3 linked regions of the Anolis sagrei genome follow. The protein of the gene in region 3 purifies or fractionates together with the protein of the main gene of each other region. This does not show direct contact. Links are inferred from orthologs where the notes say so. Each region holds a gene or a part of one and is shown on either strand. Other genes may lie near its edges. The genes, in order: tubulin alpha-1C chain, TUBA1A and TXNDC9.

Region 1 (10,285 bases), on a different chromosome or scaffold from region 3:
ATTTGTACGTTCCTTGAGATGCAATCACTACTGTCCTTAAGAACAGATGAATCAGGTCCTGGCTATTTTTACCAGAAGACTACATAGACCAGGTGTTTTATTCCACACATATCTCACATCTTTCACTGAAAAGCCTTCCCTGGAAACCATGGAAGAGCATGGAGAGGTGATTGGATTGGTCATTGAATCAGTGTCTTCTGAACTGGTGGTCTCTGAACATCCTCCCACCAGATCTCTCAGGCAACAGGACATCTTATGAGACAAAAATGCAGGCTTGTGGGGCACACACAACTCAATACACTGACAAAGGAGAATGGATGGGATTTTGAGACAAGAAACCAAGAACCTGGCTATTGCTACCTCATTGGTTGCCTCACTGTGTGTAATGATATGGCAGGCTTTGTAGGAGAAGAGTCATATGATGTTCTGGAAATGCATAGAATCCAAAGTATAAACCAAGCATATGGAAGTAGTCACATCTCATGTAGTAACTGCCCTTTATGATTCGATAGCATGTCACTGAAAAGCCCAGAGGGAGATCTCGGGAAATTTTCTACTTCAGTAGTCTTAACAGCAAATTTTTATATAGGCTTCTACAGAATGTATGATCCTCCCAACTTTGAAATAGCAAATTCCACTTCATTCTCAATCATGGTAGATTTTTTAGAATCGACTTAAGATTGTGTGATTAAGCAATATAATGCTTTTTAAAATGGAGGTTTCAATTGCATCTTTAGCACTCTCCTGTTATCACACTGAGTCATACAACAGAGCTATTCCATCCTTCAGAGTTGCATTTTCCACTGAGATGCACATCCATGAAATTGTTCTTAACTTTCACCCTGCTGCTTCACAGCTAGCTTCAAGTCATGTTCTGCTATAGAATCCCTTACGGAATATCTTTGCAGAAGCAAGGCTATTCAAAATGAGCCACTTTCACTTTCAACTTTTTGTGTGTCAGGAGTGACTTGAGAAACTGCAAGTTGCTTCTGGTGTGAGAGAATTGGCCATCTGCAAGGACATTGCCCAGGGGACAAAAGGATGTTTGATGTTTTACCATCCTTGTGGGAGGCTTCCCTTTGGGGAGCTGACAGAGGGAGCTCAACCCACTCTCCCAAGACATTTATTGTGTTTCAGGCCTGGCTTAAAGCATGCCCCACATGCACAGCAGCCCAGTAATATTTGCCAGAGTTTGGTTCCAGGGCTCTCACTGATACTGAAATCCAAGGATGCGCAAATCCCATTATATAAAATGGCATGGTAAAAGGCTGGACCTTCGATCAAATAGTATTGTAAAATGGTGTCCTGTATATAAAGTGGCAAAACCAAGGTCTGGTTTTGGATTTTTGAAGGCTGCTGGTGGTGGAATCTGTAAATGGTGAACCCATGGATAGGCAACCAACTTTTTTAAAAAAAAGGTGAGTATAAGGAAATTTTCACAAGGCAGTTTGCTCAACTGAAGTAAGAGGTATATTTGAAATAAGAGCCGTTCCACACATCTCCTCTCAGGCCTGCTCTGGGGTTGGTGGGTCTCCTCCCTCCGAGGCAGAGCCACCCCTCTGAATGGCCCCTTCCCTGAAAAGTGACTCAGCGGACATGATTCACAAACGGGAATGGAGGGCAGGAAGATGATGTGACCAACCAGGTTGCTATGCAGGAACCAGGAGAAAGGCATATTCTGCCGCTCAAAGCAAGTTAACGTGGCCCTATCTCCCACTAGCATTTTTTCTGCTCCCCCACCAGACAAGAGTGAACTAATTTGGGGAATAACATTTATGAAAAGATCCACAGACACTGTGAGCAGGCAACGCATAATGAGATTCTCTGCCTTGGCCAACTCAGTGACAGTGCCGGGTTTAGGACAAATGAAGCCCTGTGCTAGTCACGAGGCCCCTTCCTTGGGCCTTGAAAAAGGTCAGTCCAGTAGGTCTATACTGCCTGCTTGCTGGCGCACTCCCATAGACTATAAATCAGGCACGGGCAAACTTTGGCCCTCCAGGTATTTTGGACTTCAACTCCTACAATTTCTAACAGCCTACCAACTGTTGAGGACCAAAACACGTGGAGATATGAAGTCTGGAATTCTGAAATTCCTCCAAAACACAAAGCCTTCAAATTTCAAATTGCACCACACAAGGAAAAAAAATATCGTGCAGGAAGATGATCCCCTCCCCACCCCCACGCCACCAATGGGACCCTGTGCTTAAGCACAATGGTACATCTGGCACTGCCCAGTGGCCTCAGGCTAGTGGTGCTCCCTGAACTGGGATATAGATAAGGTGAAGGTTTTCCCCCGAGTTAAGTTGTGTCCGACTCTAGGAGTTGGTGCTCATCTTCATTTCTAAGCCAAAGAGCTGGTATTGTCCGTAGACACTTCAAGGGACATGTGGCTGGCATGACTGCATGGAGCACAGTTACCTTCCCGCAGAAGCGGTACCTATTGATCTACTCATATTTGCAGAAGCTGTGGCTGACAGTGGAAGCTCACGCCACTCCCTGGATTCAAACCTGCGACCTTTTGGTCAACAAGCTCAGCAGTTCAGCGGTTTCACCCACTGCGCCACCAGGGGCTCTGGGTCATAGGTACGAGCATCATTTTGCCTCAGGAAGTCAAACGCTTTGGAATGGCTCCACTTGGAAGTCTCTGCCCTTCTTGTGCACTCACCATTACGAATTATTCTCTCCACTCATCTTTATATAAAGTCAGTCCTCAGCACCATGGACAAAACCATCCTTGACTTAAAGAAGGCACAGGCAAACTTTGACCCTCCAGATGTCTTGGACTCCAACTCACACAACTCCTAACAGCCTATAGGCCGTTAGGAATTATGGGACTTGAAGTCCAAAACTCCTGAGGGGGTGAAGTTTGCCCATTCCAGGGTTAAAGTATTTGAACATAAATTAATTCCAAAAGGCATTTTTTATTTTTTGTAATTTTAGATTAAGGAACATTATTTCACTCTTTATCACACTGAAGGAGTCCCAAAGTCTGGTGGGATATACAGTACTTTGAAGAGATATCTGACTATAGGACTAGAGCAGCCGTGGATCTGAAGATCCTGGAACGAAACTCTGGCAGATACAGAAAGCCTAAAGCTTCCGCTTCTCATTTACTTCCTGCAAAAACTGCCAGGAGAGAGCGCAAGAGTACATCCACACTGGAGAAGGAATGCAGTATAGACACGCCTTTGACTACCATGGCTCAATGATATGGGATCCTGGGAGTTTTACTTTGGGGACGAGGCGCTATCATTCTTTAGCAGAGAAGGATACAGTACTTGACAAACTACATTTCCCGGATCCCACTGCACTGAGTTATAGAAGTGAAAGTGGCGTCAAGCTGCATTCATTCTATAGTGTAGATCAGGCATGGGCAAACTTGGGCCCTCTAGGTGTTTTGGACTTCAACTCCCACCATTCCTCACAGCCTCAGGCCCTTTCCTTTTCCCCCTCATCCGCTTAAGCATAGCTAAACAAAGGAGCAGCTCATTTGGGAAGAGCCAACTCCACAAAGCAGCTAGGCGTGATCTGGGCACCCTGCCCAAATAACACTACTATGTAACAGAATTTGAAAAAAGTTATCCCTGCTTTGCAAGTGTTATTTCCTGTTTAATTGTGCAGAATTTACTTTGAAAGGAGTTGTTACACTCCAGAAACTTGAGTTTTGCGGCTGCCACAGACTAGGCTGAATAGATGAGATATTCATGGGAAAATTATAGTAAAATGTACAGCAGGATGTCCCGCCAAAATGAAGTTATTGCAGTTTTAATAAACTTTCCCCATGTTTTTATGATAACACCAATTAGGAAGTTACATTTCTAACCCAGGAACAAAAGTCGTGCTATATCTGTCTCCTGAGACTCTGAAGCCCTGCCAATCAGGTCCTGCCCTAGATAGAATCATAGAGTTGGAAGAGACCTCATGGGCCATCCAGTCACCCTGCCAAGAAGTAGGAAAATTGCATTCAAAGCACCCCCAACAGATGGCCATCCAGCCTCTGTTTGAAAGTTTCCAACAAAGGAGCCTCTACCACACTCCAAGGCAGAGAGTTCCACTGCTGAACAGTATGGAAGTTCTTCTTAATGTTCAGATGGAATCTCCTTTCTTGTAGTTTGGAGCCATTGTTCCAGGGCAGCAGAAAACAAGCTCGCTCGCTCCTCCCTATGACTTCCCCTCACATATTTATTCATGGATATCATGTCTCCCCTTAGCCTTCTATTTTTCAGGCTAAACATGCCCAAGGTCTTTAAGCCGCTCTTCATAGGGCTTGTTCTCCAGACCCTTGACCACTTTAGTCTTCTGCCCTCCATGTATTTTGAACTTCGACTCCCACCATGTCCCTTCCGACCACGCCACGAGACACGTGTGCAGGGAGAAATGGCGACTAAGTTCGGCAGAAGGAGTTTCCTTCCTTCTCGACCTGGAGAGGCACTGCTACATATTCTGGGGAAGCTCCAGGAGCAGGAAGAAGAAAAGGGGCACATCCACACCGTCGAATTAAGGCGGTTTGGCACCCCTTGAGCGGCTCTGGCTGAATGCTCCCCAACCCTGAGAGTTCTCCAGAACTTTTCCCTCTTCCTCTGCCGAAGGGTCTCCTTTCCCCAAGTGTGGCTCTTTCACTCACTCACTTACCATGTTTCTGGGCGAGCTTAGGTTTAAGAGACAGAAGCCGGAAAAGGAAGAAGGAAGTCAGGAAGGCGAAAGTCTTCCTCACTGACCGACTCGTCAAGGGAGCCTCCAGTGAGCAGGAACTTCTGATCTGGTCCCGTCCACGACTAAGGCGCGGCCTTTTATAACCGCGTGGGCGGGGCTTTGTGCCTCGGGGGCGGGGCTACAGCAGACAGGCATTTCCCCTCCCCCTCCCCTCCCTTTTTTCAAAAATCCCTTGTCTCTAATTGGCGGGTTCGAATTTTCCTCTGGGGAGGGGGTTGCCTTAATATCTTAACTCGAATAGTCCTGAATGTGGGGCGGTCCTTGAGACAGGCAGTGAGCCAAGCGGCCATCCACACTGTAGAATTAACCCAGTTTGGTAGCGCTTTTAAATTGCGATGGAATCCAGAGTTATCATAGAATCATAGAGTTGGAAGAGAACTCATGGGCCATGCAGTCCAACCCCCTGCCAAGAAGTAGGAAAATTGCATTCAAAGCACTCCCGACAGATGACCATCCAGCCTCTGTTTAAAAGCTTCCAAAGAAGGAGCCTCTACCACACTCCGAGGCAGAGAGTTCCACTGCTGAACAGCTCTCACAGTCAGGAAGTTCTTCCTAATGTTCAGACGGAATCTCCAGGAGACACCATCGTTTGAGGGAAACACCAGTTCTCCTCTTGAGAAACTACAGCTCCCAAGCATTGAGCCAGGACACTTTAAAAGTGTTGCCAAACTGCGTTAACTCCTCAGTGTAGATGCAGCCTTAGCTGAGTCTTGGGGTTTTCTTGAAGGATACAAACTTTCCACATCTACTTCACACTTGAGAATGAATCCACTTTAAATCCGGTTTCTGCCTCCTGCAGAATTCTGGGGTTTGTAGTTTAAGGAGGCTGTTAAAGGCTCCTCCCTAAACTACAAACCCCAGCATTCTGCGGGAGGCAGAAACCGGATTTTTTTCCCTAGTTGTGTATGTTGTTTATTCGTTCAGTCGCTACTTCCGGGTTATTTCCATCAAAAGAAAAGCTTCAAAAGAAAATAGGGCGGGAATATAAACACTGTATTGTCGAAGGCTTTCCATGACCCCATTTTCCACAACCTCTGAGGATGCCTGCCATAGATGCAGGCGAAACGTCAGGAGAGAATGCTTCTGGAAAACTCAAAACAACCCAGTATAACGCTCTTTCTTTGTCTTTGAGGAGGGAAAAAATGGTGAGCACAGTGGAAGAAGGAGGAGGAGCTGGCTGAAAGGGGCTGTTTGGGCTGTTTCTTCTCCCAAAATGCCATCACAGCACATTCCCCAGAGAGAGAGAGAGAGAGAGAGAGAGCAGGGCTGCTCTGCTTGCATTTCTGACACACACGCAAAGAAAGGGAAGGAAGGGGTTTGTTTGTGGTGGCCCCTCCAAAAGCCAACGAGACCCCTGTGCCAAGGCTGAGGGCAGAACCAATGAGCCTGCCTTCTGTGGAGACTTTAGAGCAGGCCAAGTCCAACTTGGGCCCTCCCTCCAAGTGTTTTGAACTTCAACTCCCACCATTCCTAACAGCCTCAGGCCTTTTCCTTTTCCCTGAGGCTTTTAGGAATGGTGGGAGTTGAAGTTCAAAACTCCTGGAGGGCAGAAGATTGCCTCGGATCCTGGACCAGTGCCTGGCCACTGTGATGGGCTGGATGGGGGCCAACAAGCTGAAGTTGAATCTTGACAAGACAGATGTCCTCCAAATCAGTCTCTTGGCTGAACGGGGTATAGGGTGGCAACTTGTGTTTGACGGGGTTACACTCCCCTGGAAGACACAGGTCCACAGTTTGGGGGTCCTCCTGGATTCAGCACTGACACTTGATGCTAAGGTATTGGCGGTGGCTGGGAGAGCCTTCACACAGTTAAAGTTTGTGTGCCAGCTGCAACTATACCTCGAGAAGTCTGACTTGACCATGGTGGTCCACGCCTTAGTTACCTCAAAATTGGACTACTGTAATGCACTCTACCTTGGGCTGCCCTTGAAGATGGTTCGGAAACTACAGTTAGTGCAAAGGTCAGCGACCAGATTGCAAGTCAACCCCCCCCCCCCCTGCAGCTCCCTGGCTGCCAATAAGTTTCCAGTCCCAATTCAAGGTGCAGGTTATTACCTATAAAACTCAAAACAGTTCAGGACCTGCCTATCTTCGTGACCGCATGCTCCTCTACGAGCCCACATGGTTTCTAAGAACTTCTGGGGATGCTCTTCTCTCACTCCCACCCCCATCTCAGGCGCGGTTGGTGGGGATGAGAGAAAGGGCATTCTCGGTGGTGGCCCCTCATCTCTGGAACTTCCTCCCTAGGGAGATGAGGTTAGCACCCTCCCAATCCACATTTTGTAAGGAATTAAAGACATGGATGTTCCACTGACGATCCCTTTGACAGATGGTCCCTAACCATGGCCAAAAATCAAGTTCCTGTATTTGATTACTGTATTTTTAAGCTAAAAGGATCCTATTACATTGTCGAAGGCTTTCATGGCCGGAATCACTCAGTTCTTGTGGGTTTTTTCGGGCTATATGGCCATGTTCTAGAGGCATTTCTCCTGACGTTTCGCCTGCATCTATGGCAAGCATCCTCAGAGGTCTGTTGGAATTAGGACAAATGGGTTTATATATCTGTGGAATGGCTGGGGTGGGGCAAGGAGCTCTTCCCTGCTGCAATTAGGTGTGAGTGTTTGGCTAATCACCTTCATTAGCATTTGAAGGCCTGCTTGAACCTGGGAAAACCTGTTGCTGGGAGGTGTTAATCTGTGCCTGGTTTCTTCCTCTCTGTTGTTTAGCTGTTATAATTTTAGAGTTTTTTAATACTGGGAGCCAGATTTTGTTCATTTTCATGGTCTCTTCCTTTCTGTTGAAATTGTCCACATGCTTGTGGATTTCAATGGCTTCTCTGTGTAGTCTGACATGGTGGTTGTTGGTGTGGTCCAGCATTTCTGTGTTTTCAAATAATATGCTGTGTCCAGGCTGGTTCATCAGGTGCTCTGCTATGGCTGACTTCTCTGGTTGAAGTAGTCTGCAGTGCCTTTCATGTTCCTTGATGCGTGTCTGGGCGCTGCGTTTGGTGGTCCCTATGTAGACTTGTCCACAGCTGCATGGTATACGGTAGACTCCTGCAGAGGTGAGAGGATCCCTCTTGTCCTTTGCTGAACGTAGCATTTGTTGGATTTTCTTGGTGGGTTTGTAGATAGTTTGTATGTTGTGTTTCCTCATCAGCTTCCCTATGCGGTCAGTGGTTCCCTTGATGTATGGCAGGAACACTTTTCCTCTGGGTGGATCATCATCTTTACTCTCGTGGTTTGTTCTTGGTCTTGCAGCTCTTCTGATGTCTGAGATGGAATATCCATTGGCCTGGAGAGCCCAGTTGAGGTGGTTCAGTTCATCTTGGAGGAGGTGGGGTTCGCAGATTCTTTTTGCACGGTCTGCCAAGGCTTTGATGGTGCTTCTTTTTTGACTTGGGTGATGGTTGGAGTTTTTATGTAGATATCTATCTGTGTGTGTGGGTTTTCTGTAGACGGTGTGACCCAATTGTTGATCTGGTTTGCGGATGACTAGGACATCTAGAAAAGGTAGTCTTCCTTCATTTTCTTTTTCCATGGTGAACTGGATGTTTGGGTGGATGCTGTTAAGATGGTCCAGGAACCTGTTGAGTTCTTCATCTCCATGGCTCCAAATGGTGAAGGTGTCATCCACATATCTGAACCATATCGTGGGCTTTTTGGTTGCTGTCTCCAGGGCTTGTTCTTCAAAGTGTTCCATGTAGAAGTTAGCTATGACTGGGCTGAGAGGGCTCCCCTGAGATGGAGTAGCTATGGGGAGCTATGACTGGGCTGAGAGGGCTCCCCATAGCTACTCCATCTCAGGGGAGCCCTCTCAGCCCAGTCATAGCTAACTTCTACATGGAACACTTTGAAGAACAAGCCCTGGAGACAGCAACCAAAAAGCCCACGATATGGTTCAGATATGTGGATGACACCTTCACCATTTGGAGCCATGGAGATGAAGAACTCAACAGGTTCCTGGACCATCTTAACAGCATCCACCCAAACATCCAGTTCACCATGGAAAAAGAAAATGAAGGAAGACTACCTTTTCTAGATGTCCTAGTCATCCGCAAACCAGATCAACAATTGGGTCACACCGTCTACAGAAAACCCACACACACAGATAGATATCTACATAAAAACTCCAACCATCACCCAAGTCAAAAAAGAAGCACCATCAAAGCCTTGGCAGACCGTGCAAAAAGAATCTGCGAACCCCACCTCCTCCAAGATGAACTGAACCACCTCAACTGGGCTCTCCAGGCCAATGGATATTCCATCTCAGACATCAGAAGAGCTGCAAGACCAAGAACAAACCACGAGAGTAAAGATGATGATCCACCCAGAGGAAAAGTGTTCCTGCCATACATCAAGGGAACCACTGACCGCATAGGGAAGCTGATGAGGAAACACAACATACAAACTATCTACAAACCCACCAAGAAAATCCAACAAATGCTACGTTCAGCAAAGGACAAGAGGGATCCTCTCACCTCTGCAGGAGTCTACCGTATACCATGCAGCTGTGGACAAGTCTACATAGGGACCACCAAACGCAGCGCCCAGACACGCATCAAGGAACATGAAAGGCACTGCAGACTACTTCAACCAGAGAAGTCAGCCATAGCAGAGCACCTGATGAACCAGCCTGGACACAGCATATTATTTGAAAACACAGAAATGCTGGACCACACCAACAACCACCATGTCAGACTACACAGAGAAGCCATTGAAATCCACAAGCATGTGGACAATTTCAACAGAAAGGAAGAGACCATGAAAATGAACAAAATCTGGCTCCCAGTATTAAAAAACTCTAAAATTATAACAGCTAAACAACAGAGAGGAAGAAACCAGGCACAGATTAACACCTCCCAGCAACAGGTTTTCCCAGGTTCAAGCAGGCCTTCAAATGCTAATGAAGGTGATTAGCCAAACACTCACACCTAATTGCAGCAGGGAAGAGCTCCTTGCCCCACCCCAGCCATTCCACAGATATATAAACCCATTTGTCCTAATTCCAACAGACCTCTGAGGATGCTTGCCATAGATGCAGGCGAAACGTCAGGAGAAATGCCTCTAGAACATGGCCATATAGCCCGAAAAAACCCACAAGAACTGAGGGATCCTATTACAACTGCTCTATTCTTATGCTGTGATATATTCTATCCATCTTTTTGACCAGCCTATTCTCCACCTTGTTTGTACACCAGCCCCCCTCCCCCCCTCCAAAATGAGACTAGAAGTATTTCTGGTTGTTGCTTATGATGTCTGTTTTATTATTGCTTATGATGTTGGTTGTACACTGTTTTAATTTTTATTTGCCCTGTTTTAATTTTATGTTTTTTAGGCTTTGTTTTTAATTGTGTCGGAAGCAACCCAAGAATACACTGCAAGCTGCTTCTGGTGTGAGAGAATTGGCCATCTGCAAGGACATTGCCCAGAGGATGCCTGGATGCGTTACTATCCTGTGGAAGGCTTATTTCATGTCCCCGCATGGGAAGCTGGGGCTGACAGACGGGATCTCACCCAGTCTCATGGATTCGAACCACCCACCTTCAGGTCAGCAGTTCAGTAGCCACAAG
Region 2 (10,788 bases), on a different chromosome or scaffold from region 3:
ACATATTATTCGTTTTGTTTTCACCATCAGATATGTGTATGATGAAAAATATCAATTACACTATTAGATCTTCATATTGATAGTTTTAACTGGTGTCTATGGAAATCAGGATTCTTAATTTAAAGAGAGATGCACTGAGATATCTATAAGCAGTTATAATGCAACATTTTTAGAATTATGTTGGGAGGATAAAGTGGGGAGGATGAAACACAAATAAGATGAGGTTAGATAGTAATGTGATAAGTAAAAGGAGTAAATCTTCTTTTATCTATAAATTGATGATGTCTTACGAGTCTGAGCCTTCTCCAACCTGGTGCCCCTTCCCCCAGAGAATCTGGAATACAACTCTTCTCACCCACAGTATTTGGAATACAACTCTAATCATCCATATCTAGAGGTCATCAGTTTTATACGGCTACATTTGTTAGTACATGGGAAGATGGAGTTTGCACTCACCAATCACAGTTGGTTCCAAGTCTACAAAGACAGCCCTGGGGACGTGTTTGCCAGCTCCTGTCTCACTGAAGAAAGTGTTGAAGGAGTCGTCTCCTCCCCCAATGGTCTTGTCGCTGGGCATCTGCCCATCAGGCTGGATGCCATGTTCCAGGCAGTAGAGCTCCCAGCAGGCATTGCCAATCTGGACTCCGGCTTGGCCAACGTGGATAGAGATGCATTCACGCTAAAAGTGTGGAAATGGCATAAATGCACTTTTTTAATCGAGTACTTTTTGAACAACCTGTCTTTTTGATTAAGCAAAAATATCAGAAATTTCTTATACTTCTTTCATTTGGAAAAAGATTTCAGGTGCCTAAGAGCATCTGATGAATGCTCACGAGGCAAAAAGGACAGATAAATGTAACAGTTTCATGTTGAGTCCCTCTTATCTGAAATGCTTAGCACAGGAGGTGTTTGGTCCAGACTTTTTGAATCTTGGTATACCTGTATTTGCATACACAGACATAATGATGTATCTTGGAGATGGGCGTTTCCCCAAAGTCTTGGAATATCTCTGGATATTCCAAGGTATTTCTCACTTTTCTGTTCACTGTTGTTCAAGTCTTACTACAAGTTGAGTATTCTTGGATTTTTTTTAAAAAATTTGGAACACTTGCCATACATAATGACATATCTTGGAGACGGGAAACATGTCTAAACACAAAATCCATTTTATTACATATACACCTTATATTCATATTCTGAAGCTAATTTTATATGCAATATTTTAATAAATGTGTGTGTGAAGAATGGTGTATGTACGCTGAACCATCAGAAAGCAAAGGTGTCACTATATTGGAATAGGAGATAAGGGATGTTCAATCTGTATGAGTTCATTGTTCAAAATCATGTCATTCAAATCAGGATAAAAATAAAAATATGTGTGGAGAGAAGCCACCAAAGCCTTCAATGCTAAAGTAAGGTAAGCCAATGACAAGTGTAGTGAGTTAGTGGTGGGATCATACCTTTCAATGCCAGGCTGCCACACCCACCCTTTGTTCCTGACTACTCTAAAGCTGTGATCACTGCATTCCTGATCCAAATTTCCTTTTGCTTGATTTATTCCATCAGTAGATCTCAAAATTACTATTCATTAATGTTTAGCCTCCCAGACTAGGAAGAGACCACATTTCCAGAAAACAAAAGAGATTTGTGACCACTTTGCCCTGGGCTTTTCTGCTGACTTTGCAGGTGGAGGTGCCCACCTGCAGGAACCTGCTCATTCTGCATTCCTTGTACTGCAGAATAATGTCATTTGGTGAGAGAGAAGCCCGCCTGTGCCACACCCTGCCCAGGAAGACTAGGGATACACTCCGTGGTAGGAACAAGCTCCTCCTCATTGTTTGGCTGCCTGTGTTGGCTCTGACTGCTGCAATCCGCAATGGATTAACACAGCCGGGTCTATTTCCAGCATGATCTCATTATGCTGTTTTTCTTATTTTCCCTCCTCTGACCTCAGAGGAGATCATGCTTGAAAATGAAATCATTCAGTGCTGAGGATTGAATCGGGAGACAAATTCATGGCAAGAAAGCCTGATGATGAATGGAGACGAGTGTCTGTTTTGGCTCTGATATTAGGGACGCGTGTCTGATATGGACAACATAAGAAAAATAAAATTATAAGAAGTTGTTCCCATCTCCTTTTAATGCATTGAGAATGCTGCAGACTAAAAAGTGGTGGGCACAGAGCAGACTGGTGTGGAAGGGGCTTGGTGGAAGCAGAAACCCCCACACATTTGGGCTGCAGCATTGTCTGTGGCTTAATTACATTCGGGTCACATCTGCCAAGGGAGCCTCCCTCTTTGTCTGCTGGGTCAGCCATCCCCTCCTGCCTCCTATTCATGGAGGGACCTCTTTGCCTCAAGGCATCTGGCCTCTAGGGAGGGAGGGAAGGAAGGAGTGGGGAAGCTCTGTCCCTGTGATCCTCCCTCCAGCTGGCCCCTTTGCAGGGCTTCCTTTCACAAGGCCCCTCTTTATCCTTATGGGAGCCATGCTGCAAAGCCAGGGCATGGCTTAGGAACCCCCCCCCCCACACTTTCCCATCTTCTCCAATGAGGCAGCCTCTCCTCCATTCACTACAACTGGGGACCCTTCCACATAGCCCTATACCCCAGAATATCAAGGAAGAAAATCCCTCAATATCTGCTTTGAACTGGGTTGTCTGAGTCCACACAAGGGGCCCTTCCACACAGCCCTATATCCCAGAATATCAAGGCAAAAAAATCCCACATTATCTGAGTGTGGAGAACCCAGTTCAAAGCAGATATGGTGGGATTTCCTCCCTTGATATTCTGGGTTACATGGCTGTGTGGAAGGGCCCTGAGTCCAACACTCAGATAATGTGGGATTTCCTGCCTTGATCTTCTGGGCTATAGGGCTGTGTGGAAGGGCCCTGAGAGAGGAGAGGACAAGCCCTTTGCCTATCTAGGGAGGGTCAGGTCCCAGTGGATTCAGTTGGACTGACCCCTATGGAACAGTAAAGAGGGGTGAGTAGTCCAGGCGCCCCTCCTTGGAGGAGACTCCAGGCTTTTTCTTAGCAGCTCCTCCATGCTGGCCCCTCCCTCCTCTCTCCCTCCCTGTCTTCCCACTGACACTGCAATCCCGCCTCAGAGGCCCTTTCACACAACCCTAAACCCCAGAATATCAAGGCAGAAAATCCCAATAGTGTGGACTCAGATCCAGTTCAAAGCAGATACTGTGGGATTTTCTGCCTTGATATTCTGGGATATAGGGCTGTGTGGAAGGGCCCTGAAAGATGAGAGGACAAGCCCTGTGCCTATCTAGGGAGGGTCATGCCCCACTGGACTGACCCCTATGGAACCGTGCAGAGGGGCTGGGCAGTCCAGGCACTCCTCCTTGGGTGAGACCCCAGGCTTTTTCTCAGCAGCTCCTCCATGCTGGCCCCTCCCTCCCTGTCTTCCCACTGACACAGTCATCCCAACACAGAGACCTCCACCCTGGGGCCCTTCCACACAGCCCTATATCCCAGAATATCAAGGCAGAAAATCCAAACAGTGTGGACTCAGATTACCCAGTTGAAAGCAGATATTGTGGGGTTTTCTGCCTTGATCTTCTGGGATATGGGGCTGGATAGCAATGCCTTTATTGGGAAGGAGAAAGAGACCCCACCCCAAAAGGTCCAGCCACCCAGGGGCGTATCCTAATACCTCCGGATGCATTTCTTGGGAAGGAGAAACGTCCCACCTACCTATCAGAGGGCGTATCCTACCAAGGGGGCTCCCAACAACCCAATGGCCGTCCTGCTGATTCGGAAAGCCCACCAGACGCCCCCCAATCGGATTTCCCTTTGGCGTTTTCCGAGGCAGGAAGGCATGAGCTTAGAGAAGGAATGGATTGAATGGCAAGGAGCAAAGCCCTTTTCGATGCGGTTCAGTCTCTCAGGCTGGTCCAGCCACCTCCCTCCCTCCCAAGCAGAGGTTTGGGGCGGGTCTACACTGGAGAACTAATGCGGTTTAGCCGCCCTGGCGCAATGCGATGGCATCCTGGGGGTTGTGCTTTGGTGAAATGACCAAGGACTGCATAGCATTGAGCCAAGGCAGCTAAAGGGGGTCAGACTGCAGGAATTGGACAGTGGAGAAGAGATGCACCCTGGGAGAAGGGAGGAAGGAAAGGAATCGAGGAAGGAAGGGGAGGGAGCCCCCCTCCCCTCCCCTCTCCCCATGATTGCACAGCCTTGAGGGTGAAAGTGGTACCAAACTGCGTCCATTCCGCTGTGTGGATGCGGCCTTGGAGCCCCCACCCGGCGGGCGCGTCTTACCATGGTTGCTGCTGTTGTTGTTGTTGCTGCGGAGCGTGGAGGCGCGGAACCCGGGGAAGAAGGGAGGAAGAGGGGCCTTTCTTACAGCGCGACTCTTAGGAGGTCGATGTAAGAGAACCTGTCGCGCCGGGGCCAACGCGGGCCCCTTATATACAACCCCGTCACCATGGGGACGGGCCGGGGCGGGCTGGGATTGGCCGAAGCGCCCCCCGCTCTGGACGGGAGGAGGAAGGCGATTGGCTGAGGGCGCATAGGATGAGGTCATCGCCCCGCCCCCTCCTTTCTCAGCATCCCAAGCCTGTCTGCATCCTCCAGACAAAGGGACCAAGCCGAAGAAGGGCTCGCCATCATCATCATCACCAGGCATCCATCATCCTCCCCTTGGGCGCGCCAAAAGGAGGGGTCAGGCGGGCGGGGAGCAAGGAGGGGGGAGGAAGGACGGGTTTTGCAAGAGGGTAGAGCACTTGGGGGAGAAGAAGCGGGTTTGTTCCTCAGGACAAATAGTAAAGCCTATGCCAGCCCTTTATCACTATGACCCAACCCCTCCTCTTTGCAGGGACCCAGGAAAGGGTCATGCCATGCCTTTAAATCCACCTGCTAGCAAAGACAAAATGGGAAATGTCTTTGGAAAATGAGCTAAGAGGACGTAACTGGTGTTTTATGCTTTTAATGTTTTTACAGGGTTTGTTGTAATGTGTGTTGATTGTCTTAATTTTATTTATGTTTATTGTGGCATTGAATCGTGCCAGTGTAAGCTACTTTCAGTCACCTTGGGCATAGAAATGCAGTAAATAAATAAACAATAAATAAATAAATATGTATATATGTGTGTGTGTGTGTTTATTTGATTCTAAGACACTATTGATTGTAAAACACACACTAATTTCAGTACTACCCACAAAAAATACATAAGATGCAGCTAAGGCTCCTTCCACACAGCTGTATATAGTCCCACATTATCTGCTTTAAACTGGATTATATGACAATGTGGACTCAGATAACACATTCAAAGCAGATATTGTGGATGATCTGCCTTGATACTCTGATTTATATGACTCTGTGGAAGGGCCCTAAGATGCATCCCATTTTTAGATTTCTATGGGTGAAAAGGTGTCTTAGAATTAAGTAAATATAATATGTGTGTGTAAGTGAGTCTATATACTGGGTATGCCAAAAGTCACAAAGGGGTCCTATATGGGCCCTTCCACGCAGCCCTATATCCCAGAACATCAAGGCAGAAAATCCCACAATATCTGTTTTGAACTGTGTTATCTGAATCCACACTCAGATAACGTAGGATTTTCTGCCTTGATATTCTGGGATATTATTATTATTAACCTTTATTTATACCCTGCTAACATCTCCTGAAGGACTCGGTGCAGCTTACAAGAGGCCAAGGCCCAACACATCAATAAAACAACAGCATAGGAATACAACAATAAATAACTCATAAAGCAAAACAATAAACATTAAAAACAATAGCAATAAACATTAGACAATAACACCACAACGCATTTAAAACTGAGGCCGGGCCAAATGTAATGAATAAAAATTTAAAAAATGCTGGACCTGACAGGTGAAATGGGTAGGTTTTTGGAGATAAGTGCGGTGTGCAGACAATCTAAATCTGTAATAAAGTGCATTTGGGACATGATGCTAGGAGATTCCTGTTCTGGGAAGACACACTGGAACAGCCACATATAGGGCTGTGTGGAGGGACCCAGCATCTTGTATATGATGCGATGATAGTGGATGCCATATATGAGAATGAATTTTTCACAAATTAGGAAATGACATTAGGATACCTGCTTTTAACTGGGTTATCTGAGTCTACACTGCCACATATTCCAGTTCAAAGCAGAAAATGTGGGACATTATTCAGCTGTGTGGAAGGGGCTTCACATGACAGGAAAAGAGTTGCCACCTGAACCTTATGAAGGGCTTTCTGGTGGTAAGAGCTGTTTGACAGTGGAATATTCCGCCTCAGAGTGTGGTGGAGTTTCCTTCTCTGGAGGTTTATGACCATCTGCTGGGAGTGCTTTGATTGGGTGTGCCATCATGATAGAATGGAGTTGAACTGGATGAGCCTTGTGCTCCCTTCCAGTGCTCTGATTCTATGGAAACTGGAAAGAAACTGGCACCTGTTTTCAAAAGCACACTCAGAGTTTCATCCTTTTCTTTTGCTAGTATGGCAAGGCGTGGCCTGCATACCCGCAAAGCACCCCCAGTCAGTTACGGCACATAACGGTGAATTATTCTCTCAGCACCAGCAAGCACAATTTTTCCCGGCTCTTCTCCCGCCTTTCCTCCCACCACTTACTTGCCTCCTACTAGTCTGGCAAGCCAGAAGGAGGAAGGGAGCGGAGGGAAAGAGAGGCAGCAGGTGGAGAAGGCGGGCCTGGCGCCTTCTTTTTCTTTGCCAAGAGAGACCCAAACACTTCCTTTCTTCCCTGCCTGTCTCCATCTTCTGAATATTTCCAACCTTTACAATCACACCCATTTGCTCGAGTCTATCTTATTTAAGCCTGCCTTACTATGTTCTGTTATTCCTCTGTGCAAAATGACAGCCTCCATTCTGTACCGAACCAATGTCTTTTGCTGACTGTGAGTGCATGTAGAATTAATGCAGTTTGACACCATTTTATCTGCTATAGCTCCATGCTATAGAATTATGGCAGGTGTCATTTCACCTTCTCTGCCAGAGACTGCTGGAGCCCCACAAAATTATAAATCCCATTTAGGCTGGCTCTATGCTATGGATTCAATCCAGTTTAATAATAATAATAATAATAATAATAATAATAATAATAATAATAATAATGTTTTCATGCCAGGAGCAACTTGAGAAATTGCAAGTCACTTCTGGTGTGAGAGAATTGGCTGTCTGCAAGGACGTTGCCCAGGGGACAGGCGGATGATTTGATGTTTTTATCATCCTTATGGGAGGCTTCTCTCATGTCCCCGCATGAGGAGCTGGAGTTGATAGAGGGAGCTCATCCGCCTCTCCTTGGATTTGAACCCGCGACATCTTGGTCTTCAGTCCTGCTGGCACAGGGGTTTAACCCACTGCACCACCGGGGGCTCAATAATAATAATAATAATAATAATAATAATAATAATAATAATATATTTATATTTCGCCCATTCTCTCCTAGGGGACTCAGAGTGGATTCCAGCATATATACAGACACAGGCAAACATTCAGTGCCTTTGAAACACATAATTAAACACAAATACACAGACAAAGGCAAAGGCTTTCCCTTTCATCTCCAGCTCTGGAGGCAGTGCTTGTCTCTGGCTCCGGGGGAGATGCTCAACTCCATTTCAAGCCGAGGAACCTGTGTTGTCCTGGTCATGTTGCCGGCATGATTTCGTGGGGCACCCTTTTACCTAACCGCTGAGGCAGTACCTATTGATCTACTCACATTTGCATGCTTTGGAACTGCTAGGTTGGTAGAAGCTGAGGCTGATAGTGGGAGCTCACCCCGTCTATTGGATTCGAACTGCAAACCTTCAAGTTAGCAAGCTCAGCAGCTCAAGAGTTTTTTACCTTGTTGTGCCATCCCGGCCCCACTTTAGGTGCCATTACTCTGTGCTATGGAATCCTGTGGCTTGTAGTTTGGTTAAGGACTTTGTAAAACTGCAACTTCCACAATTCCATGGCATGGAGCCAAATGGTGCCAGACTGCATTAATTCTACAGTGTAGGTGCATTCTGAGGCAGAGCAGCAAAGCTCTCCCTCCTCACCTCTGGTCAAGAAGCCTTGTTGTTTCGACATCAAGCAGGCTAACCAAATACCTAACAATTTGTTGCAGTTTGTGAAAGCTCAGAACTGCTAATTTGGGGGTGCCTGACGGTAGAACTGGTTCTGCTTCTTCCTATGAGCACACCACAATATATTTATTTGTGTATTTGTTTGAATTATATCCTGCTTAATTGGAAAGGTTGGGCCTTGACTTTGATCTTTTACCAGTTCATTAGCGTCTCTGCTCCCCTCCCTCAGCACAGCTTCTGACAATTACTATTTTGATGGACTGTCAGTTGCCCTTTCTCTTGTTTTAGTGTTACTACATTGCACTGGTCACCATAAGACTTAAAGAAACTCTCTCTCTCTCTCTTTCTTTCTTTGTGTCCTTCCTACACCTCTCTCCCCTTTTTCTTTCCCCAGTGGGTTGCCAAGGGAGGGACAGACTGTTCTTGCCAGAGGTCTGAATCTGCCCGTGGGCTTTTGAAATTAGACCAAGGTCTGCAAATTGTCGGTGTCTAGTCTGAAATATTTATTTTTTAATGTGCATTGGTAGATTTCCTCTTTTTAAAAACAAAAAATATCCTAAAGTATTTGATGATGTTTAGTGATAAAAACAGGTCTGTATGCGGAGGAGCGTCATTTGCGCCAGGATTCTCAGTTGGTACCAGGTGAGCATTAATATTTAATTGTAGCCAATCTCCCTTACAACAAACACATGAAATAGATCAAATTGGCATGAGCACCTGGTTTGGGCACAATTGCTGTACATTAGCAAATCTGGAGATTTGCATCTTGGGAGCCACTGAAATATGCATAGGTTAACTCTATCTGGGAACAAAGAGAATGTGCAACAGCAGTGATAGATTCCCCGCCTCGTACTGCAAAATGCTGCATTTGCCTTCTCCAGTGCTTCACATCCAATATCCTATACCACTCCCTGAATGATGAGCTGTATTTCTGAGCAGTGGCATTACACACTTCTTTACCAGCAAGGTCGAGATGCGAAGCTGGGAAAAGGAGATTTGCCATAGATTGGACAAGTTATCAGAATAATTAAATTCTGGTTTATAGCATGGCTTTTAAGAGAGAGAAAGACTCAGCTTTGAAGTAAGATCTAATTAAACACTACCCAATAAAAATAAACATGTTAAGATATTGAAGCAGATTACAACAAAAATGTCTTACTTTTGTTGTTATTTTAGTCTTAGTAAAGGTAAAGGTTTCCCCTTGACATTAAATCTAGTTGTGTCCAACTCTGTGGGGTGGTGCTCATCTCCATTTCTAACCCAAAGAGCCGGCGTTGTCCGTAGATGCCTCCTAGGTCATGTGGCTGGCATGACAGCATGGAGCGCCATTAGCTTCCCGCCAAAGCAGTACTTATTGATCTACTCACATTTGCATGTTTTCGAACTGCTAGGTTGGAAAAAGCTGGGGCTAACAACAGGAGCTCACCTTGTCTTGCGGATTTGAATCACTGACCTTCCACCTTCTGGTCAGCAGGTTCTGCAGCTCAGCGGTTTAACCCACTGTGCCACCGCAGCCCCCGATTTTATTCTTAGACCTATAAAAATTGATCTTTTGATCTGTGGAATACACCCTAAATTTAATCCTTGGTGATAGTTACTAATGTAGACTACCAAGGCAGTATAAAGTCTCAGCAATGCCTTTCTATGCCAAGATAGTGAGCTCATTGTGGAATGAAGTCTTAAGTCCCAGTGTGTGGCCACACTTGCCTTTTTGCAAGTGGTTCAGGCACATGACAGATGTCTGTAAGAGAGCTGCAAATATTTTTCAAAACAGATGTCCTAGCTTTTTAAAAAGCTTCCTATTAGGAAGAAATAGTAAAAGTGTCCCTTTTGTTGCAGGTCTTTTATCTCATCATAATGAAAGCATTTTCCCAACCCACCTTTCTCAATCAATGGTCTCTTTGAAACAGCTTACAAAAGCTTCAAAAACTGCAAGCAGAGCCTTGTTTTAGAAAAGAAGTCCCCACTGAAACCGTTTGCCTCCAAAACAAGGTGTGTGCTCCCTGAGTTTCTTTTGACAGGAAAGGGTGCTTTTAGCAACTGGAAGCATTCCTCTGTTTCTGGTTGTTCCTGCATCCCTGAATTTTGGGAGTATATGGCAGCATAGGGGAGGTGGCAGGAATTCAGAAGCTAAAAGGGCTCTCAAATTGACCAAAGATACTAATTCCTGAGATATATAAAAATACTTGGTTCTATTTTTTGGTGGAGCAAGTCTGAGTGGTGGAGCAAGACTGTGGAAGACCAGAGTTGGGATCTCTGCCCGGCGATGGAAATTGTCTGGATGGATTTGGGCAAGTCATGCTGTGAAAACATTGGTCCTGCTCCATCTGAACAAATCAGACCAAGAAAACCTTAGGGTGGTGTCACCATAAGTCAGAGATGACTTGACGACACACAAAAACAACAACAGCAACAACAATTGTATTATTATAAATGTATAATTGTGACAATTTGGACATCATGCCATCCTGAATGGGAGGTTCTAACTCAACTTCAGTTGTGTAAGGTTTGGCTGGATTACATGATGAGCATAGATAGGAATAGAACTATTGGATCAGCCAAGGGCTCCCTCTAGCCAATGTTTTGCAGAGGCCAGTTGGAAGTCCAGAAGGAAGATGCAAGTAGTGCAGCATCCTCCTGCCCTTGATAACTTGGCAACTGGTATTGATAGGCATACTGTGCCAGTTGCATGTTTAGGCACATGGACACACTCCAAAATTTGTTCCAAGGTTGAAGGCTAG
Region 3 (10,427 bases):
CATACTGATAACAACCCCCCATGCCTATGGATGAGCTCTCCTAGTTGCTTCATGGAGATAGAATGGCATCTTGTGGAATGCCACATAACTGTTCCTTTTCTGAGGAGTAGCTATCCCCAAGTGCTGCCATCTGTAACCTGCCTGTGAGGTACAATCAGAACCCCTGCAGTACAGTGCTTCTGATTCCCAGCTCTTCCAGGTGTTCTAGAAAGATACCATGACTGATGGGATCAAAAGCCACTGATAAGTCTAGATACACTAACAGGGACACACTCCCCCTGTTGGTGCTGCGATGGAGATCATCCACTAAGGAGACCACAGCCATCTCAAGTTCGCATCTTGCTCTGAAGCCTGTCTGAAATTGGTCAATGACATTTTTGTCATCCAAGAGCCCTTCCACATAGCCATATAACCCAGAATATCAAGGCAGAAAATCCCACAATATCAGCTTTGAACTGGGTTGTCTGAGTCCACACTGCCATATATTCCAGTTCAATACAGAAAATGGGGGTTTTATTCAGCTGTGTGGAAGGGGCCCAAGACTACCAGGAACTGGAGAGCAATTGCCTTTTCAATCGCCTTGCCCAAAAAAGGGAGAATAGACACTGGTCTGTAATTATTAAGATCCAGGAAGGGCTTTTTCAGTAGCAGTCTAACTACTTCTTCTTTTAAACAGGATGGAAAATTCCCTTTCCTGAGAGATGCACTGAAAATTTGTTGTATCTGAAATCTAATTGCATCTCCTCCCTGGATAACCAGCAGGGATCAAGTAAGTAGGGGTCAAGAAAGCAAGAGCATGCATATATCTTACAAAGTTTGTCATGTTTATTGTTATTCTTTTGTATTTTTGAGGTGTTTGTATTTGTTTCAGGGCATTGTTTGCTTTGTTCTGTTAGAAATGTAATATAATTGACTGGCTGCCCTGACACGAGAAATAAATAAAGGGCATTGAATGTTTGCCTTTCTTTTGTGTGTAAACTGCTTTGAGTCCCCTCGGGGAGATAGGGTCTATTAATAATAATAATAATAATAATAATAATAATAATAATAATGTAAATGCACAGAAATTCAAATTGAGGTTTAATTACTAGCCAAAAAAGGGCACCAGATTAGGTAATTAGTTCTAAGAAAATGGCATTTCCACAACCTATCTGCAATATCTTCAATTGATAATCTCTTTTACTAAGCATTTTATACTATAAAATGCCACAAGGCACATACTATACCTGTAAGTGGTATCTCTGTAAAAGTGGCAAACCACATTTTTGCTTCCTTTCACTTCCTGAAAAAAGTCTCTCTCACTGGGGACTTCCCGGTATTCTCCATGTCCTTTTGAAAGCCACTCCTATTTAATACAACCAGTTAGCATAACATTTCTACGCATTATTTATGGAATGAGACAAATAGCATCCCCTGATTTTAAAAAATAAGTATACTAGTCATAAGAAGCCCAATTCTATGAATCATGCAGAGTGCTGCATGCTTCCTTCTCTCAATTTATATCTAAGATTAGTAAGGCATCAATTCTAAAAGGACAAATACATTTAAGAGTCGGGGCTGACATCTAAGATGTAGGCTCCTAATGCCAACTTATGCATGTTTTATTTGGCAGTTCAGTCCTATGAACTTTACCCAACGAGCTCTGTTCTAAAGAAAAAGTATGAAAGATATTTCACCCTTACATATTGTTTACATCAGATATAAAACTGCCTGATTTTCAGACCTTTTTATCAGTGAGTAATTCATTTCAGGAAATGTCAGCTTTCAATCTAATGTTAAAATACTGTTTTCAGTAACTAATAAATGAGTCAAGTGAGAGAATGCAGTTGGTGTGTTGGAGCAGAAAACATGGGATCTTCTAGCACCCCAAAGACCAACAAGATGCGAGGTGGTGGTGGGGGGAGTCCTTACAACAACACAGAATGTCTGTTTATAGCAATCCCAACTTACCAGGAAAATGAATGTAGGTTTTAGTTTAAAGGTGAGAATCTTGTGACAGTGCAGTTTGTTGGACTGCAGATGCCAGTATTCCCTACTTTTGCCTATGCTGACTGCATCTATTGGGAGTTATAGGGCAGCACCACAGGATTCCCACCAGCCAGTCCCCCCCCCCCCCCCCCAGTAAGACAGCCTTGAAAAAGTTTCAGATTTTTGGCTAAAACGTTGACATACAGGTTGAGTATCCTTTACCCAAAATGCTTGGGAACAGAAGTGTTTTGAATTTTCTTTTGAAAATTTACATATATGTACATAATTAAATACCTTGCAGATGGGACCCAGATCTAAACATGAAACATGTTTATGTTTCTTATATGCTTATCCTGAAGATAATTTTATACACAATATTTTAACAATTTTGTGCATGAAACAAACTTTGTGTACATTGAATCATCAAAAAGTAACATCAAAATCTTAGTCCCCTGTGTGGACAGTTTTGGATTTTAGAGGATTCTTGGTTTTGGAATTCTGGAAAAGAGGTTTTCCACCTATACAGCGAGCTCTGGTGTACACATCATGCCTTCTTTTATTTGGACATTTTTCAAGTAATGTCTGTAACATACCAAAGTCTGGCACCCTCTGTCATACAAAAGTCCCTACTAATGTTGGTATTACTTTCAAATAGTTTCCTAAAATCCTTGCTTACTTGTTTCTGTTGCTGGGCTTTTTTCAGTGCTTCAAGCCTTCTTTGCTTTAGGATTTCCAGTTCATCTTCATCCACTTCATCAAGTTTTTGAATCTCAGCATCCAGTTGCTCTTCTACAATCTTAGCTGTCTGAAGCATCTGAGCCTCCAGAGCTTTTGAAAACATGTCTGCAGCCATTTCTCCTTTACATAGACTACAGAAACATTAAATCTGGAAAAAGAGTAGGTTTTTAAGTCAGAGCTAGACACCATGAAATGAAATTAGACCTTCATTCACATTCACTAATGACCAAGACACAGGATTAATTCAAGCTTTTTGTTATCTTTTGAAAATTTGATTGTACCAGTTTATTCTAAAGTTAAGGTAAAGGTTTCCCCTTCACATTAAGTCTAGTCATTTCCAACTCTGGGGGGTGGTGTTCATCTCCATTTCTAAGCCAAAGAGCTGGCATTGTCCATAGACACCTCCAAGGACATGTAGCCAGCATGACTGCATGGGACGCTGCTACCTTCCCGCTGGAGTGGTACCTATTGATTTACTCACATTTGCATATTTTCGAACTGCTAATGCCAAGGGAAACCTTGACCTTACTAATCTATTTGATGAGCTTCATCAAACTCTGACAATGTGTATGTCTAATGATGTCTTTCCAAATCAGTAAATAACTAGCGAGACACAAGGAAAATATCCAAATAGCATGAAAACGTCACGTTGCTTTGAGCCTAGAGCTGTGTGCTAATGGCAAAGCACACTATGCAGAAAAATCTTGAATTAAAAGAAGTTGTTGTAGCCAATTAAGAGGAATGAATAAGACTCAGAGGAAGGGGCTGCAACTCTGGGCACGTCCACATTGCTTTTTGAAACGGCTTTATATGGTCAGTATAGATCAGGCATGGGTCAACTTGGGTCCTCCAAGTGTTTTGGACTTCAAGACCCACAATTCCTAACAGCCTCAGGGCGTTTCCTTCCCCCCCCCCCTCAAACGCTTAAGCGGAAAAGGAGAAGAAAAGGAAAGGATCTGTTAGGAATGGTGAACTCCAAAACACCTGGAGGGCCCAAGTTGGACCCCCCCATTAGGAAGAACTTCTTGATTGTTCAGCAGTGGAACTCTTTGCCTCGGTGTGTTGGAAGTCTCTTCCTTGGAGGCTTAAGCAGCTGAGGGGGAAAAGGAGAAGAAAAGGAAAGGGCCTGAGGCTGTTAGGGATTGTGGGAGTGGAAGTCCAAAACACCTGGAGGGAGGGCCCTGCCTGGGATAGATTCATGTAGTTTAACGGCACTGAACTGCATTATATGAGCATGGAGTGACCATATAATGCAGTTTCAAACTACGTTATGTTCAAGTGTAGATGGAGGCCCAGAAGGTGGTTTCTACGGCCCCCATTTCTACCTTCTTCCCAAAGACCGGGCCTAAAGCCGGGACGAAACCGGATCAGGGCGCCCATCCAGGGCAACACCTCGGAAGCCATGACCTGGTGACTCACCGCAGTACAGGCCAAACGCCCGAAGTAGTGCGGACGCGGCTTGAAACGGCTTCGTTCCGCGGAGGCCTCTCTCTTCCTCTCTCCAGCCGGCGAAACGCCTCCGAGCCGTTGCCTGACGCGCCCTAAAGACGTTTGGTGACTGACGCACGAATTGGTCGTCAAGCGGCTTGGCCTTTATTGCGCATGCGTGATCCAGAATCTCGTCCTGCGTCTTCTTCCAAGCTTTGTTTTTCAACCGTACGTAGGGGGAGAGAGACTGCAAGGACCAGCATGCAATGCGCCAGGGAACCGCTCCCAGGACTTCCGCATCGCTGCAAACTACAAGGACCAGAATGCCTTGCGCTTCACAAGGAGTTGGGAGTTCAGAAAGAGCCACAGGGTTCCTCTCTAGGAACAATAGACTATTGGATATTCGTGTCGCTTGTGAAAACTTGATTAAATTATTAGCACTTTTACTGACATTGAAAGCTAAACCTTTGGCATCAACATTCAGACTCTCCAGAGCAGGCATGAGCCAACTTGGGCCCTCCAGGTGTTTTGGACTTCAACTCCCACAATTCCTAACAGCCTACTCCAAAGGGTGCATCAATACTGTAGATTAGAAGGACTGCAGTTTGGCATCGTCTGAACTGCCATGGCATCCTGGGATTGTAATTTGACAAGGCCTTTAGCCTTCTCTACCAGGCAGTAATGGTGCTTCGTCAAACTACAGATCCCAGGATTACAAAACATTGAGCCATTCCTGTCAAAAGTGTGGTGGGTTGAAGGCGAAGCTACAGAGGTTTATCACAATGTGGCCAAATAGGGAACGAGTACAAGCAATGCGCTTCCAAAGGTGCAAACATAAATTTACAGAAAAATACAAGACATCTTATACAGTTCTCACAGATATTCAGACTTTCTGCTCCCTCCCCTGATTGGCTGGAAAAAGAGGCAGGCTAGGATCCACACTCAGATTAGCCAAGAGTTCTCTTGATGTCACAGCCTACAGGTGGGGATTCTTGTGGTGGGAAGAAAGAGAGCTGGAAGTTACTCAGTTTAAAGCAGGGGTCCTCAAACTAAGGCCCAGGGGCTGGATACGGCCCTCTAAGGTCATTTACCCGGCCCTCGCTCAGGGTCAACCTAAGTCTGAAACGATTTGAAAGCAAACAACAATCCTATCTCATCAGCCAAAAGCAGGCCCACACTTCCCATTGAAATACTAATAAGTTTATATTTGTTAAAACTGTTCTTAATTTTAATTATTGTATTGTTTTAAAGTGTTTTTGCAATACAAATAAGATATGTGCAGTATGCATAGGAATTCATGCATGTTTTTTCAAATTATAATCCAGCCCTCCAATAGTTTGAGGGACTGTGACCTGGCCCTCTGTTTAAAAAGTTTGTGGACCCCTGGTTTAAAGAGTTAGTCTGTTGTAGGGACACCACTTGGGAGGGCACAATCCAGGAGGAAATGATGATGTGGGTATGCTGATGAGTCCCTGGTTAAGTCAAGTGTCCAGTTCCATGTGAGACAAAGTGTGCAAGACCCACAAAAGTGACGACCACAGAGAATCAAGGCTTTTGGCTGTTCCCATTCAGAGTTACTAGAGTAATATTTACTGAGCCCCCTCTTCTGTGGGAGAGGTGGACTGTCTGCTTCAAGCTAAACAAAGAAACATCCCGAGCTTACCCTGGTGACAAAGAGGATCTTACCCTGGTTACCCTGGTGACAAAGAGGTCTGCATACACACACACACACACACAGACAAAGGATTTTAATATTTATCTGGTTTAGGAAACCACCCTGGCTGTGGTTTCCTTTTCCAAGAGATTGTGAAAACTGAAGGCATGGATACATTTTGAAACACTTCATCTGATATAATTTATACTTGTAGAAATTGACACAGTACATAAAAGATACAAGTTACACATAAAATCTCAAGTTTAACATTCATTGATGGGTTAGATCTAATAGGGTTTGTAAGGTTCAGCTGCAGTTACGTCAGTTCTAGTGCTTTAGTATTTTGCAACTCGGGAACTGTGGAAAATCTATATAAATAAAAATGTAATGTAATACTCTCACCCAACCTTTTTAACGTGTATGCAGAACACATCATGCGATGTGCGGGGCTGGATGAATGCAAAGCTGGGGTGAAAATTGCTGGAAGAAACATTAACAACCTCAGATATGCAGATGACACCACTCTGATGGCCGAAAGCGAGGAGGAGCTGAGGAGCCTTCTAATCAAGGTGAAAGAAGAAAGCGCAAAAGCCGGGTTGCAGCTAAACATAAAAAAAACCAAGATTATGGCAACAAGAATGATTGACAACTGGAAAATAGAGGGAGAAATTGTGGAGGCTGTGACAGACTTTGTATTTCTAGGTGCAAAGATTACTGCAGATGCAGACTGTGGCCAGGAAATCAGAAGATGCTTACTTCTTGGGAGGAGAGCAATGTCCAATCTCGATAAAATAGTAAAGAGTAGAGACATCACACTGGCAACAAAGATCCGCCTAGTCAAAGCCATGGTATTCCCTGTAGTCACCTACGGATGTGAGAGCTGGACCTTAGGGAAGGCTGAGCGAAGGAAGATAGATGCTTTTGAGCTGTGGTGTTGGAGGAAAGTTCTGAGAGTGCCTTGGACTGTGAGAAGATCCAACCAGTCCATCCTCCAGGAAATAAAGCCCGACTGCTCACTGGAGGGAAGGATACTAGAGACAAAGTTGAAGTACTTTGGCCACATCATGAGGAGACAGCAAAGCCTAGAGAAGACAATTATGCTGGGGAAAGTGGAAGGTAAAAGGAAGAGGGGCCGACCAAGGGCAAGATAGATGGATGGCATCCTTGAAGTGACTGGACTGACCTTGAAGGAGCTGGGGGTGGTGACAGCTGACAGGGAGTTCTGGCGTGGGCTGGTCCATGAGGTCACAAAGAGTCGGAGACGACTGAACGAATGAACAACAACAAATGTTCGTTTGTGGGCTTATCATAACTCAAAAACCACTAGACGAATCGACACCCAATTTGGACACAAAACACCTCTCAGGCCAACGAGTGACCATCACTCATAAAAACACTGAAAAACACAGTGGAAGAGACTTAAAAAGCCAAATAATAAATAATACATTACAATGCATGTGCAAAACCACATATATACACATATACACATATACACAAATATATACACACACAAAACACTTATACAAAGACAGGGCCACAGCAATGTGTGGCAGGGGATGGCTAGTGTTTTAATAAAAAGGAAATGTCATCTAACTTGTTTAGTCTCATGATTGTCTATAAATATTTGGGTGGGGTGGGGGTGGGGCGCTTGTAATTCCAAACTGCCTTAATTCTACAGTGTAGATGCACCCTGAAATGGCAATAACCCCAGTTATATGCAGGAGCCAGTGTACTTGGAAGGATTATCAAATACATCTCTGTTGTTTGTTTCCTATGTTAAAAGGCCTCTCTTTAAGTCACCTTCGGCTGTAAAGTGTAAGAAATACTTGGAAATGAGACCCTATAGTTAATGTAGAAATATAACCCATTTCAGTGCTCCAGTGCATTTTAATTAAAGGATCCCCACAAATTAGTAGATGCAAACTGAGTTCTTTCTTGGTATCTCAGTTTGTTTTTCCAGTTGGGAATGCATTTAGGGCAAAAGCTGACAAGCCTGTATGATTAAATGGACTTCAATGCTTTATAAACCCAAAGGCAACCAGCTCCCTGCCTTTAATATTATGTTCTCTTTCCTGGCTTTAACACCATGCTTTCTTTCCTGCCTTCACCTGGGCCTCTTTTGATATTTCTGCCATGATTTGATTGCAGCTATCTCTGCAATCAAATTTAGTTTCTCCTGTATCACAAATTTAGTTTCTCCTGTAATGGAAAGTTGCACTGTGACTTTGTCTCTTAATTTAGGGACATCATAGATCATTTTGAAGGTACAGCTACACCGAAGAATTAATGCAGTTTATAATGTGTCATAATGTGTCAACAATTCAAAAACATAAAACAACTTCAAAGGGATATCTATATATACTATTTCAACACATTACACACACGGGGAGAGATAATATTACAGCCATTCTGTCATACTGGTGGTTTTGATCACTTATGGATCTGATTTAAAGAAGAGGGTTGTGAAGAAGTTGTTAAACTGCTGCCACCAATTGTGAAGAAGACCGTTTTAATGCCACCGAATGCCACCGAATGTGAAGGTGTGAGTGGTAAAACACCCACTGCCACCTAATCTATGAGGGAAGCCAGGCAACGATCAATATCAACCTAGGAGCTATTTCATAAAGGGACTGTTAATTACAGAAGGCTTTATTTATTTGATAGTGTAGCGTTTACTTTCCTGGCTTGACTTTACTATTGCAGGCTGTTCAACTTAGGAGAAACTGTATCAGGCAAGGCTTGAGGAGAACAGTAACAATTTTATTAGAACAAGCAAGGTATATCAGATTTGATTGTTTCTTCACAAGAGGCACGAATCTTGACTGGTTACATTAGTAAGGTTTCATGAGTAACCTAAGGCACAGACTTCAAGAGGTTTCTATACGCAGAAGTATTTTTCCTGGACAACTGTCCCAACAAAACAAATAAGCCAAAAGGCCTATTCAATAGAATTGGCTCACAGCCAAACCTTGATTCTTAATCCAGAATCAATAACCCCCTGTAGCTTTATCACTACCGGGTCCTTTTTTGTAACCCCTTTGGTCACAAATTAATTCCCTGAATCTCCACCCAGAGATTCAGTTTTCCCTGTAGCACACCGGCTACAGACTGCCACTTTCAAAAAGCTGCGCCGTGAAGTGATAGTTGGCTCCGCCCCCGTTGCTATGGCAACTCAGTTCAAGCCACTAGCCACCATCTCTAACAAAATATAATCCTACATACTTACAATTTATTAACTACTGTTTAAACAACACATAACCATAAGAATAGAAGTTACACATCGTCACAAGGGTAGTGTTCCATTACCCAGGCACTTGGGGGCACTAGAGAAGGATAATAAATTTTATGGGGGTGGAGGGTGGGTTGAAGGAGGAAAACCATTTCTCCTTGTGTTCCTGTTATTCCCATCACCCATGTCTCTGTTGTGGAAACAACCCTTATTTATGATATGGGACGGGGGAGAGGGAAAAACCAGCAAAAACAGGGGAAATGGTTTTCCTCTTCCAACTCTCTCCCCATAAAATGGGCTATAATTATCTCTCTAGTGCCCCCTAGTGGTCTCCGCCAGGATAATTGAACAGTACCAAGAAGATGTGTTGTCAAAGGCTTTCATGGCCAGAATCACTGAGTTGCTGTGAGTTTTCGGGGCTGTATGGCCATGTTCCAGAAGCAGTCTCTCCTGACCTTTCACCACATCTATGGTGAAATGTCAGGAGAGAATGCTTCTGGGCCATGGCCATACAGCCCGGAAAACCCAAAGCAACCCAGTACCAAGAAGAATTATTTCTAGGAATCTTTAGGTCCTCCACTGTGACTCTGTGGCCAACTTCCTCCATATAAACAAAGACATTCCTAGAGAGGTGTTCTCCTCGGGACAAAAAAAGGCAATTTCTTTATTTGGAGTCCTCCATTTATAGGGGAGAACTCTTGTGCCCTTAGACCCACAGAATGTGGTGGTTTTTAAGCAGGGGCTGGATAATAACAATAGAATAACTTTATTCTTGTGTCCCACTACCATCTTCCCAAAGTGACTTGAGGTGGCTTACACACAGCACAAAAGTGCCTTAAAACAGTATAAAATGAAACACAATATAAAATGCAATTAAATAAAACAAACAAGCATATAAAACAATTTAAAACTCATTTTAAAAAGATGCACTTCTGGTGGTAAGCTACTGTAACCATTACCAGAGGGTAAACAACGAGCAAGGGAATGGGAGAAGTGCAAAGGTACAGCCATGGGAGGAGGGCATGGGATGTAGTGCAAGAGTGCATAACAATTGCACAGAACAACTAGGGACTAGGCCTTTTCAAAAGCTTGTTTAAACATCTGGGGTTTCAGGTCCTTATGAAAGGTGGACATTACGGGGGGACAGATGGATGGCCATCTATTGGGGGGCTTTGATTGAGTCTTTATGCGTGGCAGGGGGCTGGACCGGATTGACCCATATGGCCTCTTCCAATTCAGTGGTTCCCAACCTGTGGTCCAAGGTCCACCAGTGGTCTGCAAGAACTAAAATATGGTCCGCAGCATCACCGTTACTACACCGTTGCAACAAAGGCTGCTTTTGCAAAACCCTCTTACAGTTCTGAGGCTGTATGATTTTCTACGGGCGAGTAGATGGCGACTACTGGATGG

Evidence for each region.
Region 1: the proteins of TXNDC9 (region 3) and tubulin alpha-1C chain purify together in Homo sapiens (co-immunoprecipitation; 3 studies listed by BioGRID and IntAct, counting the BioPlex papers as one, with this or other methods). This does not show direct contact. The link is inferred for Anolis sagrei from reciprocal best matches to the Homo sapiens genes TXNDC9 and TUBA1C.
Region 2: the proteins of TXNDC9 (region 3) and TUBA1A purify together in Homo sapiens (affinity purification with mass spectrometry; 3 studies listed by BioGRID and IntAct, counting the BioPlex papers as one, with this or other methods). This does not show direct contact. The link is inferred for Anolis sagrei from reciprocal best matches to the Homo sapiens genes TXNDC9 and TUBA1A.

What each region holds. Positions count from the first base shown.
Region 1 is NC_090022.1:145,730,620-145,740,904, forward strand, and holds the start of tubulin alpha-1C chain, read right to left. Parts: upstream 4,789-10,285; 5' UTR 4,636-4,788; coding exon 4,633-4,635; intron 1-4,632. UniProt on the Homo sapiens protein: Tubulin is the major constituent of microtubules, a cylinder consisting of laterally associated linear protofilaments composed of alpha- and beta-tubulin heterodimers.
Region 2 is NC_090022.1:145,790,798-145,801,585, reverse strand, and holds the start of TUBA1A (tubulin alpha-1A chain), read right to left. Parts: upstream 4,421-10,788; 5' UTR 4,277-4,420; coding exon 4,274-4,276; intron 680-4,273; coding exon 457-679; intron 1-456. UniProt on the Homo sapiens protein: Tubulin is the major constituent of microtubules, a cylinder consisting of laterally associated linear protofilaments composed of alpha- and beta-tubulin heterodimers.
Region 3 is NC_090023.1:102,691,563-102,701,989, forward strand, and holds the start of TXNDC9 (thioredoxin domain-containing protein 9), read right to left. Parts: upstream 4,359-10,427; 5' UTR 4,126-4,358; intron 2,855-4,125; 5' UTR 2,822-2,854; coding exon 2,645-2,821; intron 1,346-2,644; coding exon 1,227-1,345; intron 1-1,226. UniProt on the Homo sapiens protein: Significantly diminishes the chaperonin TCP1 complex ATPase activity, thus negatively impacts protein folding, including that of actin or tubulin.